Linked DNA regions of Saccharomyces cerevisiae S288C. The gene in region 1 interacts genetically with each later gene. Each region holds a gene or a part of one and is shown on either strand. Other genes may lie near its edges.

The links.
Region 2: mutations in CWC22 (region 1) and YCL068C together harm fitness less than expected from each alone (positive genetic interaction), as found in Saccharomyces cerevisiae (one large-scale study listed by BioGRID).

What each region holds. Positions count from the first base shown.
Region 1 is NC_001139.9:1,045,008-1,053,720, forward strand, and holds CWC22 (U2-type spliceosomal complex subunit CWC22), read left to right. Parts: upstream 1-1,723; coding exon 1,724-3,457; downstream 3,458-8,713. Other genes in the region: RNH70 (Rnh70p), read right to left, coding at 1-473; CAB4 (putative pantetheine-phosphate adenylyltransferase), read right to left, coding at 637-1,554; SCW4 (putative family 17 glucosidase), read right to left, coding at 3,791-4,951; PXR1 (telomerase inhibitor), read right to left, coding at 5,903-6,718; ATP-binding cassette transporter YOR1, read left to right, coding at 7,817-8,713. UniProt on the Saccharomyces cerevisiae protein: May be involved in pre-mRNA splicing.
Region 2 is NC_001135.5:8,626-14,186, forward strand, and holds YCL068C (uncharacterized protein), read right to left. Parts: upstream 3,661-5,561; coding exon 2,878-3,660; downstream 1-2,877. Other genes in the region: VBA3 (basic amino acid transporter), read left to right, coding at 1,081-2,457; HMLALPHA2 (homeodomain mating type protein alpha2), read right to left, coding at 3,761-4,393; HMLALPHA1 (transcriptional co-activator mating type protein alpha), read left to right, coding at 4,657-5,184.

The DNA of each region.
Region 1 (8,713 bases):
GAATTGTAGGGCGAAAAGAGCGTCATCTTGGAACCAGGTGCCATCACGGGAAATGTATGAAACGTGGAGGCAATTTCTCCAGGAATATATTTGAAGTTATCATCACTGATTTCATTAAAGGTATTTTTTCCGTTCTCAAAATCATCTGGTTGTAAACCTGGAATGAACAGAACTATCATTTTCTGTAAACTTGACCTGTTACAAATATCAATCCATTTGGGAGAGTTGTTTTCAGCCTGCAACAAGTATTGAGTCATGTCTCTTACATCCTTTATACCAATACCTTTTTCAACCACAGACTTTAGCAATGTGCATGTCATAGGCTTTGCCTTTTTTTTCTTCTTATTCTTATTCACTTCCGATACCACATTTGTATGATCATCCTCTTGTACAGAAGTCTTGGATAACCTTCTTTTCTTTGATCCCAAAGCCAAATCACTCACGAAGTTAGTGTCAGGCCCTTCTACTTGCATGTTTGCCTGAGTATAGTCTATTATTGTTTTCTTCCTCAGTCATCCTTGGTATTGCCATCGAGCAAAAATCTTCCCTCCATTTCTATTGTGTCCTCGCGCCACTTATAAAATACTAACAATAAAATAATAGTGAACTACAACAATAAAATATACAAAAATATGTTTATACGCAAGGGTTTTGTGGAGTGCACGTTGGCGAAGCAGAGGACTTAAGTAGGCGTCTGATTTCCGTGCTGCTTAACTTCTCGCTCCAGCCGTCTTCCTCCCTTCCTCCAAGTACATTAACCACATGTACTGCCAATGGGCTCATGCCTTTTTCAATCCTAGTCTTATTCACAGTCTCTGCCCCACTGACGGTTTCTCTACTCACAACTAAACATTCTATCTCGGGTACTTTCCCTGTGGGGCCGCACACGTCCCTTAAGGGAACTAGTTCTACGGAGAGATCCGGTTTTAACAACTTGATGAATTGATGTACGTGCCTGCATCGTGTATCATAAGGTTCAATCAACTCTTTGTATTTCTTGTTTTGCAAGAGCTCATCGCACGTAATTCCACAAATTAACCTTTGTGACGTGATGAATGTAGAGACGCTCAACAATATTTTATGTCCATCGTGAATGTGGTCGAACGTTCCGCCCAATGCGGTGACATGAAATTTGTTAGCATCTTTGGGACCTTCTATCTCTTCCATTATATTATCGTGTAATGCATAATGTTCTATACTATGGTATTGTCCTTGTCCCAACTCTAGCTTCCAAGTTTCAAAAGTGGATTCCTGTGGCAATAAAACCACTTTCCATTGCAAATTACTCTCGACGAAATGAATATTGTTGAATATGATGTTGATTCCGCTGTTGATCATTCCATAGCCCAAAAGGACATCCCTGGTAATACTGTACATCTTCCCTAGCGCAGAATCCAACTGGAATGAGGTTTTGAATTCAGGTACAATCACGATGTCTAGTTGACTTTGACATTCTCTTAAGAACGGAATAGTTTGCCCTATAATCCTCTGCAAAGTAGCACTAGGCGGTGTATAAGGAAGAACAATCAAAACTCTGGAATTTTCCTCAACCATCTTACACTTCTTTACTTTAGATTTTTAGGTTTAATCACGTCTCTTTTTATGACGGTCCTTATTTTTATCTTTTTCCATTACGTACTCTTGAAAAATTATATTACACTGATATTTATTTTGGCATTGTGAGTAAGAAACCTAAAAAGGAATAAAAAGGCTACAAACCAGCATGTCTACCGCTACCATACAGGATGAAGACATTAAATTTCAGAGAGAAAACTGGGAAATGATAAGGTCACACGTTTCACCCATAATATCCAATTTAACAATGGACAACTTACAGGAATCGCACAGAGACTTATTTCAAGTCAATATACTTATTGGCCGCAACATAATTTGTAAAAATGTTGTGGATTTTACTCTGAACAAACAGAATGGCAGGCTAATCCCTGCTTTATCCGCTTTGATTGCCTTGCTAAATTCTGATATTCCAGATATTGGAGAAACTTTAGCAAAAGAACTAATGTTAATGTTCGTGCAGCAATTCAATCGCAAAGATTACGTGTCCTGCGGAAATATCCTTCAATGTCTGTCCATTTTATTTCTTTATGATGTAATTCATGAAATCGTGATCTTACAGATTCTATTGCTACTCCTTGAAAAGAATTCTTTACGACTGGTCATTGCCGTGATGAAAATATGTGGCTGGAAACTTGCACTTGTCAGTAAGAAAACCCATGATATGATTTGGGAGAAGTTAAGATATATTTTGCAAACACAGGAGTTATCTAGTACACTACGTGAGTCGTTAGAGACTCTGTTTGAAATAAGGCAAAAAGATTATAAATCTGGGTCTCAAGGTCTGTTTATATTGGACCCAACTAGTTACACAGTTCATACGCACTCCTATATTGTTAGTGATGAGGATGAAGCCAACAAAGAACTGGGAAATTTTGAAAAGTGTGAAAATTTCAATGAACTAACCATGGCGTTTGATACGCTACGACAGAAGCTGCTGATAAATAATACGTCCGACACAAATGAAGGTAGTAACAGTCAATTACAAATCTATGACATGACATCTACCAATGATGTCGAGTTTAAAAAGAAGATTTATTTGGTTCTGAAAAGTTCATTATCAGGTGACGAAGCGGCTCACAAATTGCTAAAATTAAAGATTGCGAACAATTTGAAAAAAAGCGTGGTAGATATAATCATCAAATCTAGTTTGCAGGAATCTACATTCTCTAAATTTTATTCTATTTTGTCCGAACGTATGATAACGTTCCACAGGAGTTGGCAGACAGCTTACAATGAAACTTTTGAGCAGAATTATACACAAGATATCGAAGATTATGAAACTGACCAACTGCGAATCTTAGGTAAGTTTTGGGGACACTTAATATCTTATGAATTTCTTCCAATGGACTGTCTTAAGATAATTAAGTTAACTGAGGAAGAATCGTGTCCTCAAGGAAGAATTTTCATCAAATTTTTATTTCAAGAGCTCGTAAATGAGCTCGGATTAGATGAGCTGCAATTAAGGCTAAACTCCAGCAAGCTTGACGGAATGTTTCCGCTGGAAGGAGACGCCGAACATATAAGATACTCCATAAATTTCTTTACTGCCATAGGATTGGGCCTGCTCACAGAGGACATGAGAAGCCGGTTGACAATTATTCAAGAAGTTGAGGATGCAGAGGAAGAAGAAAAAAAATTGAGAGAAGAGGAGGAACTTGAAAAGTTACGGAAGAAGGCCAGAGAGTCACAACCAACCCAAGGGCCAAAAATTCACGAATCCAGGTTATTTTTACAGAAGGACACCAGAGAAAATAGTAGATCAAGATCGCCATTCACAGTGGAAACAAGAAAACGTGCTAGATCCAGAACTCCACCAAGAGGATCGAGAAACCATCGTAACAGATCCAGGACTCCGCCTGCAAGAAGGCAACGGCATAGATGAAGAGCCCGGCCAAACAAACATTACACATGTAATCGTACATATTTACATAGAACCGTACACGCTTTTAGCCAAAAAAAAAAGAAAGGTAGAATATAAAATAAAAACTCGTATTTCGTATTAAGACAAATATACAGAAATACAAATGAGATCATAAACGAACTAAAATAGGAAAATGAAAAAAAAAAAAAAAGATTAGCGAAGGCAAACCAGAAAGCAGTCCTTTGATATAACAGAGAAAAAGAAGATTATCAAAGCCTTAATTTAAAGTTAAAAATATTGGGTATCGTTTTTTAAATCAAGATTTTTTTTGTTTTTTTTTACAATTGAGTAGACTTATTCATTGGATAGAATACCCCAGTATTTTTCAACACCGTAAGCACCGTCGGCCTTCCAGTAGTCGTTGAAGGCAGTGAATAAGAAGGTATCAGCACCACAGGAGCTGGTAATGGCGGAAACAGCGTCCTTTTGATTTTCCTTAGATGGAACAGCAACACCGTAAGTCTCACCCTTTGATGGCCAACCAGACTCAGTGATAACAACATTCTTCTTACCATCACAAGCAGTCCAGACTCTTTGGATTTGTTCTAGTAACCATTTACCGGAGTCTTGGGCAACTGTGTTCTTGTCAAAGTAAGCATGGGCATTAACAGCCATGTAGTCGGAGTAGTCACACAATTCAGGGTTGTTGATCACAGCAATAAAAGTATCAACAGAAACAACTGGACCAGTGTAACCGGCAGCCTTCAAGGCAGATCTACCAGAGTCAATGTATTGACCGACTTGGGATGGGGTAGCTTGGTTACCGTTAACCAATTCGTTACCAATGGAAACAGTGGTGACATCGTCCCAAGAACCGTAAGATTCAACAGCAGACTTGATGGTGTTGACACCGTCTTGGATTTGGTCAACGTAGTAAATACCTAAAAAGACTTTTTGGTTCGAAGCCTTAGCCTTGAAAACATTTTCAACTTGGTTACAGTCGGTACCGTACAATCTAATGACTGGGAAGTCAGTCAATTGAGCTAAATCGGAAGCAACTTCCGAAGCGGATTTACAAGCACCGCTGGACTCGTATGGGGTATAAGTGATACCTCTGACACCAGAGGCAAAGCTGCTGACGTCTTCGCCGGAAGAACTAGAGGAAGAAGCTTGGGAGGAAGAGGAAGATTGAGTAGATGTAGCAGCAGAGCTGGAGGCTGGAGATGCGGCAGCAGAAACTTGTGAGTTGTTCTCAGAAGAGGAAGCAGCAGCGGTAGCTACAGAAGCAGCAGACGATGTTGTACTGGTAGCGGCAGCTGGAGCGGAGTTGACAACAGCATTTTCTTCCAAAGCAGCAACTGGAGTTGAAGCGGCACCATTAACAATGATAGTGGTTTGTTTTTGAACAGTGGTAGTGACCACAGCACGCTTGTCCTTGTGTTCGTGGTTAGCGGGAGCAGCAAGAGTAGCAGCAGATAAAAGAGAGGCAGAAGCAATTAGGTTAGAGAGACGCATATTTTTCTAGTTTGCTTTTCGGTATGGCTTGCTAGTATATAAACGATTGTAGATGTAAAAGAATGACTTAGTTGGATTTAGTTAGATATCTAGCTGGACCTTTGTGTAAACACTATTAAAAGAATAGAATAAGGGCTAAAAGAACTACTAAACAGAAAACAATTATGACAGAAGATAAAGAATACATATCTATTAGTTTTATAAAACAGAGATCTTCTCCTCGAGGAATGGGAGAAAACAGAAAAAAAAAAACAAAAACAACGGTGCCGTTTTTGAAACAACACCACAAGAGAAAATTTCTGAAAAAAATGCGCGTGAAAAGGAATCATGTGCCTATTTTCCTCATTTGGAGAGGCTAAACGAAAAGGGAAAAGAGGTGCGTTGCGCGTGTTTCTAGGGAGAAGATCCTATTGCAGCAGGGTGTCGCGCGAAAAGCGGTGCCTACAAATTACAAAACCCTCTGGGAAATGACCGTGCAGGGTCGTTTGTGGATGCATCTCGATTAGGCCGGGCTAGGCATCTTGATTCTTTCCCAAAATGGAGTTAACGAGCTCGATTGGGCGTTAATTGATGGATTTGGTTACACTGATACGAATTGAGCCCGTTTATCATTCATGCAGCGGCTTTATGGAGGGTGTGGAAGACGTTAGCGATGTTATGCTTTCCACTTGCTCTACTATCTTCCATCAAACCCACCTAATAAAGCTGAAGGTTTTGCAGGGGCAGAAGTCGTGGCGCAATAAGTTCAATAAATACTTATAATATTACTTACTAGTTTAATCATGTATGTAAAAACTCGTTGCGGTATGCTGTCGTACTGGCACACATTTTTTTTTTTCATTTTTATTTGCTTTTTTCTTTGGCACCGGGGAAGAATTTTTCCCCACTCTATATATCTTGCTGCGTGTGCAGACTGGCCAGCTGCTCACACAATGAAACGCAATGGAATGTTTAGTCGTTTGTTATCATAAAGATCTCATTCAGTGCCTTGGAGTCCATCAACGCGGCCCTCTTTTGTTTTATCCATTTGGAGCGCACCGATAGTCTTGTGTTTACCGCATCGGGGATATTGGATGCAGATTCACTAGATTTTAATTTTGACGTCTTTTTCGTTTCTTTGGTCTTTTCCGCCCTTTTTTCCTTCTTCAATCTCTTCTCTTCCTTTTTATGTTTCTTATGCTCCTTTTTGTCCTTCTTGTCTTTTTTCTTGTCTTTCTTATGCTTTTTGTGCTTCTTGTGCTTCTTTTTATCACTGTCTTTATCCTCTTTGTCGTCATCATCTTCATCTTCGCTATCGTCTCCTTCCCTCTTTCGTTTCTTCGCGTTGGAGTAATTTCTTAACTTGTGAGTCTTTGGATCCCACGTGCTTGCTAAAACTTCACCCTTCACAAAATGGATACCCCATTTTCCGTCAATAATCTTCTGCTTTCTCTGCGTGTCCAATTCCTCTGATATTTTGCTTTCCTTTCCGTTCAGCCTACCAAGAATTCGCTGGAAGACATCCAACCCTGCGCATTCACCATTATCAAACTCGTCTTTTTTGTCTTTACGTTTTAATTTAGCACCGAGCCCAACGTTGTCGTCCTTAATTGACACTTTGATATGCGAAGTGTTCGAATTCATGGGGGATAACCCCAGACCCATACCGGGTTTCCATCCAAACTTTTCTAGAAATTGGTGCCCGAATCTCGAGGTGTCGTTACTCCATGCCGTATTTCTGGGGTCTAAACCAAACCGCTGTTTGGTTCTTGTAGCTGCCAAACCCATTCTGCTTCTTTGTTTAATGGTGTAAGCTGCCTATATGTTACTATTGAGTACTCATCTCATCGCTTCTTTCAGAACAAAATTTTTCATATTTTTTTTTTTTCCTTTTCTTTTTTTTTTTTTCTTTGACTGTTACCCGGTTGTTTATATTTGTAGGAAAACAACAACGACAGAGAAAATATCCTTGCAGTGGCGGCTAATTTGTTAGTTGACTGATTGATCACCTTCACTTATTAAAGTAAAATCAGCATACAAGAGATCAGAAGGGAGAAAGAGAGTGGGCAAGGCTATAGTACTTTGAAGAAAGCATCTTTGAACCGACCAGTTCTCTTCACAAGCAAAATCTATATGACTAACCGCAAGGGGCAAAGGGTTGTGAGAGGGCCCGTCTTTCTCCCGCTATAGCCGTCACTGGTATCCCTCCTGGCTGCACAAATCCGATAGAAAGGGGAAGAAGGAAGTTTAGTGCCACCTTATAGCACGCAGTTACTGTTTACGCTAAGGAGAGGCATACTCAATTTTTATTAGTCGCCTTCTTTAGTTGCTGCGTTTTTATCCACGGTTCTCTACTAAATGCTTGCGATAAGCGCTTCTATTTTCCTCCCCACCGCGAGGCGGAAATGGCACATTTTTTTTCTTTTGCTTCTGTGCTTTTGTTGTAATTTTTGGCATGTGCTATTGTATGAAGATAACGCGTGGTTCCGTGGAAATAGCCGGAAATTTTGCCGGGAATATGACGGACATGATTTAACACCCGTGGAAATGAAAAAAGCCAAGGTAAGAAAGTGGCAATATTTTTCCTACAAATAGATCTGCTGTCCCTTAAATGATTACCATACATATATATATTTATTACACATCTGTCAGAGGTAGCTAGCGAAGGTGTCACTGAAATATTTTTTGTTCCAGTTAGTATAAATACGGAGGTAGAACAGCTCTCCGCGTGTATATCTTTTTTTGCGCTATACAAGAACAGGAAGAACGCATTTCCATACCTTTTTCTCCTTACAGGTGCCCTCTGAGTAGTGTCACGAACGAGGAAAAAGATTAATATTACTGTTTTTATATTCAAAAAGAGTAAAGCCGTTGCTATATACGAATATGACGATTACCGTGGGGGATGCAGTTTCGGAGACGGAGCTGGAAAACAAAAGTCAAAACGTGGTACTATCTCCCAAGGCATCTGCTTCTTCAGACATAAGCACAGATGTTGATAAGGACACATCGTCTTCTTGGGATGACAAATCTTTGCTGCCTACAGGTGAATATATTGTGGACAGAAATAAGCCCCAAACCTACTTGAATAGCGATGATATCGAAAAAGTGACAGAATCTGATATTTTCCCTCAGAAACGTCTGTTTTCATTCTTGCACTCTAAGAAAATTCCAGAAGTACCACAAACCGATGACGAGAGGAAGATATATCCTCTGTTCCATACAAATATTATCTCTAACATGTTTTTTTGGTGGGTTCTACCCATCCTGCGAGTTGGTTATAAGAGAACGATACAGCCGAACGATCTCTTCAAAATGGATCCGAGGATGTCTATAGAGACCCTTTATGACGACTTTGAAAAAAACATGATTTACTATTTTGAGAAGACGAGGAAAAAATACCGTAAAAGACATCCAGAAGCGACAGAAGAAGAGGTTATGGAAAATGCCAAACTACCTAAACATACAGTTCTGAGAGCTTTATTATTCACTTTTAAGAAACAGTACTTCATGTCGATAGTGTTTGCAATTCTCGCTAATTGTACATCCGGTTTTAACCCCATGATTACCAAGAGGCTAATTGAGTTTGTCGAAGAAAAGGCTATTTTTCATAGCATGCATGTTAACAAAGGTATTGGTTACGCTATTGGTGCATGTTTGATGATGTTCGTTAACGGGTTGACGTTCAACCATTTCTTTCATACATCCCAACTGACTGGTGTGCAAGCTAAGTCTATTCTTACTAAAGCTGCCATGAAGAAAATGTTTAATGCATCTAATTAT
Region 2 (5,561 bases), on another chromosome or scaffold:
ATACACCTGGTGACTTTAACTTTAACTTTGACCTGTCGTCGTACAATCAACTTAGTTTCCGAAAATCCACGACGAACCAGTTATACCGAAGACTTTTGTACGACAAGAATACTGTACCGTCGAAACTATCTCTTTTCAAACTGATGAGTGAAGCTTGTGTTTATGTCTGTTGAAACAAGGAAAAAAATGCGGTGCCTGTCGACAGGATATGCGCACAAGTGCAAAATCATCAAAAAATTGAGTACCTAGATCCGGTGGTGTAGGACGAGCAAAGTTCCTTCATAAACAAACCGTAAGGGTTACTGATACACAATTTCCTTTTTGTAAAGAGTATTTGAGCAAATTAGTCAGCGATTGAAAACAACACCCTTTTTTCTATATATAGTAGGTGAAAGTTAACATGCGAGTAAAAGTAGTGCCACATTTCCTTTGCAGCAGGTGCAAATTGGTACATATTTAACAGATAGCGCCGCACCTCATATGCAGCGCGTACATGATACGAGACGACAAGATATGCAAAAGATAATAGTGTCATCACACCTTTATGAGAAGCGAATTTTTTTTTTTTTTTGGTTTAAATATATATATATACATATATATAGATATAGATATACACATGTATAGATGTATTCTAGTTATGCTTATACCTAGAACTGATCAGACCAGATCATACCTGGTATAGAGCTTAATCGATAGAAATTCAAAAATATGGAGGAAACTAAGTACTCTTCGCAGCAGGAGATAGAAGAAGCATGTGGTTCAGACGCTTCATTGAATGCTAGAGGTAGCAATGATTCTCCAATGGGACTTTCCTTGTACCTCTGCCTGGCTTCGTGAACTCTTGTACTATTCATAACTGCACTGGATATTTTGATAGTGGGAACTATTATTGACGTGGTCGCAGAACAGTTCGGAAACTACTCCAAAACAGGTTGGCTCGTTACAGGCTACAGTTTACCAAATGCTATTCTGAGTCTCATTTGGGGAAGATTCGCATCTATCATAGGTTTCCAGCATAGTCTCATTTTAGCAATACTTATTTTTGAAGCCGGATCCCTAATTGCTGCCCTTGCCTCTTCAATGAATATGCTCATTGTCGGTAGAGTTGTTGCTAGTGTTGGGGGAAGCGGACTTCAAACGCTTTGCTTTGTTATTGGTTGTACGATGGTTGGTGAAAGGTCACGTCCATTGGTGATTTCCATCCTAAGTTGTGCATTTGCTGTAGCTGCTATCGTTGGTCCTATAATCGGAGGTGCCTTTACAACCCATGTTACCTGGAGGTGGTGCTTCTATATCAATCTTCCTATCGGTGGTCTTGCCATTATTATGTTTTTACTCACATATAAGGCCGAGAATAAGGGTATACTTCAACAAATTAAAGATGCTATAGGAACAATCTCGAGCTTTACTTTTAGTAAGTTCAGACACCAAGTTAATTTTAAAAGACTTATGAATGGCATAATCTTCAAGTTTGACTTCTTTGGTTTTGCCCTCTGCTCTGCAGGGCTGGTCCTTTTCCTACTGGGGCTAACCTTTGGTGGTAATAAATATAGTTGGAACTCTGGCCAAGTCATCGCATATTTGGTTTTGGGTGTCTTACTTTTTATTTTTTCATTGGTGTACGATTTCTTCTTATTCGATAAATTCAACCCGGAACCTGATAATATATCCTACAGGCCTCTCCTTCTAAGAAGATTGGTAGCAAAACCAGCCATAATAATAATAAACATGGTAACATTTCTATTATGTACCGGTTACAATGGGCAAATGATATACTCTGTCCAGTTTTTCCAACTTATATTTGCGTCGAGTGCATGGAAAGCCGGTCTTCACTTGATACCAATCGTTATTACCAACGTTATTGCGGCCATTGCAAGTGGTGTGATTACCAAAAAGCTCGGTTTAGTTAAACCACTCTTAATATTTGGAGGCGTTCTTGGGGTAATTGGAGCAGGGCTTATGACACTTATGACAAATACGTCCACGAAGTCAACTCAAATTGGTGTTTTGCTATTACCGGGGTTTTCCCTTGGATTTGCTCTACAAGCATCGCTCATGAGTGCACAGCTTCAAATTACCAAAGATCGTCCAGAAGCTGCTATGGACTTTATTGAAGTAACAGCTTTCAATACATTCATGAAGTCATTAGGTACAACTCTTGGTGGTGTGCTTTCAACCACTGTTTTTTCCGCCTCCTTTCACAACAAAGTATCACGAGCTCATCTAGAGCCTTACGAAGGAAAAACGGTTGATGACATGATTTTGTATCGTCTTCAAAACTACGACGGTTCTCATTCGACTATTGGAAACATTTTAAGCGACTCCATTAAGAACGTATTTTGGATGGATCTAGGGTTTTATGCCTTAGGATTTTTGTTTTGTAGTTTTTCATCCAATAAGAAATTAATCATACCAAAAAAGGACGAGACACCAGAAGATAATTTAGAAGACAAGTAGCGCAGTTATTTTCTTATTTTCATTTTATTTTTTTCGCCTTTTATACAGACTTCAACACAATCAGAATCAAATAGGTGTATCGCAATGGAATGTAATTTCTTAAGTATTCTATATGTACTTAAAACCTATTAATATATGGATCAACACAGTATCTTATGAATGGGTTTTTGATTTTTTTATGTTTTTTTAAAACATTAAAGTTTTCGGCACGGACTTATTTGGAATTCAAATTATTAATGAAAGAACAATTAACTAATTAATGTACTTAGTATTTGGCCATTATTATCGATTTCGGGGGCCAAATCTAACCAAATTCAACCTACATTTTTTCAAATTGATTCAAACACCTTTCACAATAAGATTTTTATATCTAGCGCACATAGAATGAAATGTAAACAAAGATTTCAGAAAAATCGTCATTCAAACTTGTATTAGACGAGGGACGGAGTGATTTTTGTGTTTGTTTTTATTAATTGTGGGATAGGATAGTAGCAACTCTTGGAGGAGAGCATTGTCAGTTGTCCAGTCTCTGAAGTTAAGTAGTAAGTTTGCGGAGTCAAAGGGGGATGGCTTTTGCCATTTGTGAGAGTTGTGCGGCAGCATCTTATTCAAATAGAGCTGTATTCTGAAGACCTCTTGTAGAACATCATCCATACTAAAAAGTAAATCGTCCTGTCCCATTACGAGCTGTAGTAGTGCTGTGACCCTCTGTATATTTACGTTGCCATGAAGAAGGTAATGGGCGATATTTTGATACAATTCCTGAGTTGCATGTTGGATTGAGTTTACGAAGGGTCGCCAGACGGCCAGAAACCTCCAGGCGGAGTTAACAACTAGTAATACGGCATCCATGTTTGCATCAGCGCCGAGCCTATACCAGTCACTGAGTAGACGTTTTCTTGCTCTTTTTATGTCCTGACTTCTTTTGACGAGGGGGCATTCTCTAGAGACACAGGCAGTTGCTTCCAGCAACTGCCGTACGGCCGTTCTCATGCTGTCGAGGATTTTTTTTGGGACGATATTGTCATTATAGGGCAGTGTGTGACTTATGAATTGTTGTAGAAGGACGTCTGTGATGTTGGAGATATGTATTTTGTTAACTCTTCTTGAGACAATTTGGCCCTGGATAGCGAAGCGTGCGGTTACAAATAGGTCGTCTTGTTCAAGAAGGTAGGCGAGGACATTATCTATCAGTACAAACATCTTAGTAGTGTCTGAGGAGAGGGTTGATTGTTTATGTATTTTTGCGAAATATATATATATATATATTCTACACAGATATATACATATTTGTTTTTCGGGCTCATTCTTTCTTCTTTGCCAGAGGCTCACCGCTCAAGAGGTCCGCTAATTCTGGAGCGATTGTTATTGTTTTTTCTTTTCTTCTTCTATTCGAAACCCAGTTTTTGATTTGAATGCGAGATAAACTGGTATTCTTCATTAGATTCTCTAGGCCCTTGGTATCTAGATATGGGTTCTCGATGTTCTTTGCAAACCAACTTTCTAGTATTCGGACATTTTCTTTTGTAAACCGGTGTCCTCTGTAAGGTTTAGTACTTTTGTTTATCATATCTTGAGTTACCACATTAAATACCAACCCATCCGCCGATTTATTTTTCTGTGTAAGTTGATAATTACTTCTATCGTTTTCTATGCTGCGCATTTCTTTGAGTAATACAGTAATGGTAGTAGTGAGTTGAGATGTTGTTTGCAACAACTTCTTCTCCTCATCACTAATCTTACGGTTTTTGTTGGCCCTAGATAAGAATCCTAATATATCCCTTAATTCAACTTCTTCTTCTGTTGTTACACTCTCTGGTAACTTAGGTAAATTACAGCAAATAGAAAAGAGCTTTTTATTTATGTCTAGTATGCTGGATTTAAACTCATCTGTGATTTGTGGATTTAAAAGGTCTTTAATGGGTATTTTATTCATTTTTTCTTGCTTATCTTCCTTTTTTTCTTGCCCACTTCTAAGCTGATTTCAATCTCTCCTTTATATATATTTTTAAGTTCCAACATTTTATGTTTCAAAACATTAATGATGTCTGGGTTTTGTTTGGGATGCAATTTATTGCTTCCCAATGTAGAAAAGTACATCATATGAAACAACTTAAACTCTTAACTACTTCTTTTAACCTTCACTTTTTATGAAATGTATCAACCATATATAATAACTTAATAGACGACATTCACAATATGTTTACTTCGAAGCCTGCTTTCAAAATTAAGAACAAAGCATCCAAATCATACAGAAACACAGCGGTTTCAAAAAAGCTGAAAGAAAAACGTCTAGCTGAGCATGTGAGGCCAAGCTGCTTCAATATTATTCGACCACTCAAGAAAGATATCCAGATTCCTGTTCCTTCCTCTCGATTTTTAAATAAAATCCAAATTCACAGGATAGCGTCTGGAAGTCAAAATACTCAGTTTCGACAGTTCAATAAGACATCTATAAAATCTTCAAAGAAATATTTAAACTCATTTATGGCTTTTAGAGCATATTACTCACAGTTTGGCTCCGGTGTAAAACAAAATGTCTTGTCTTCTCTGCTCGCTGAAGAATGGCACGCGGACAAAATGCAGCACGGAATATGGGACTACTTCGCGCAACAGTATAATTTTATAAACCCTGGTTTTGGTTTTGTAGAGTGGTTGACGAATAATTATGCTGAAGTACGTGGTGACGGATATTGGGAAGATGTGTTTGTACATTTGGCCTTATAGAGTGTGGTCGTGGCGGAGGTTGTTTATCTTTCGAGTACTGAATGTTGTCAGTATAGCTATCCTATTTGAAACTCCCCATCGTCTTGCTCTTGTTCCCAATGTTTGTTTATACACTCATATGGCTATACCCTTATCTACTTGCCTCTTTTGTTTATGTCTATGTATTTGTATAAAATATGATATTACTCAGACTCAAGCAAACAATCAAAGAAATCTTTCACTGCTCTTTTCTGTGTTCCATTTAGTTTTTAGTACGATTGCATTGTCTATATACTGTATTTACCAAATCTTAATTTTAGTCAAACATTAATGTTTACTTTCGTATTTAAGGATGTGTATACTAAGCCTTGGGAAAATGCGTGTTCCTTGTGCCATCC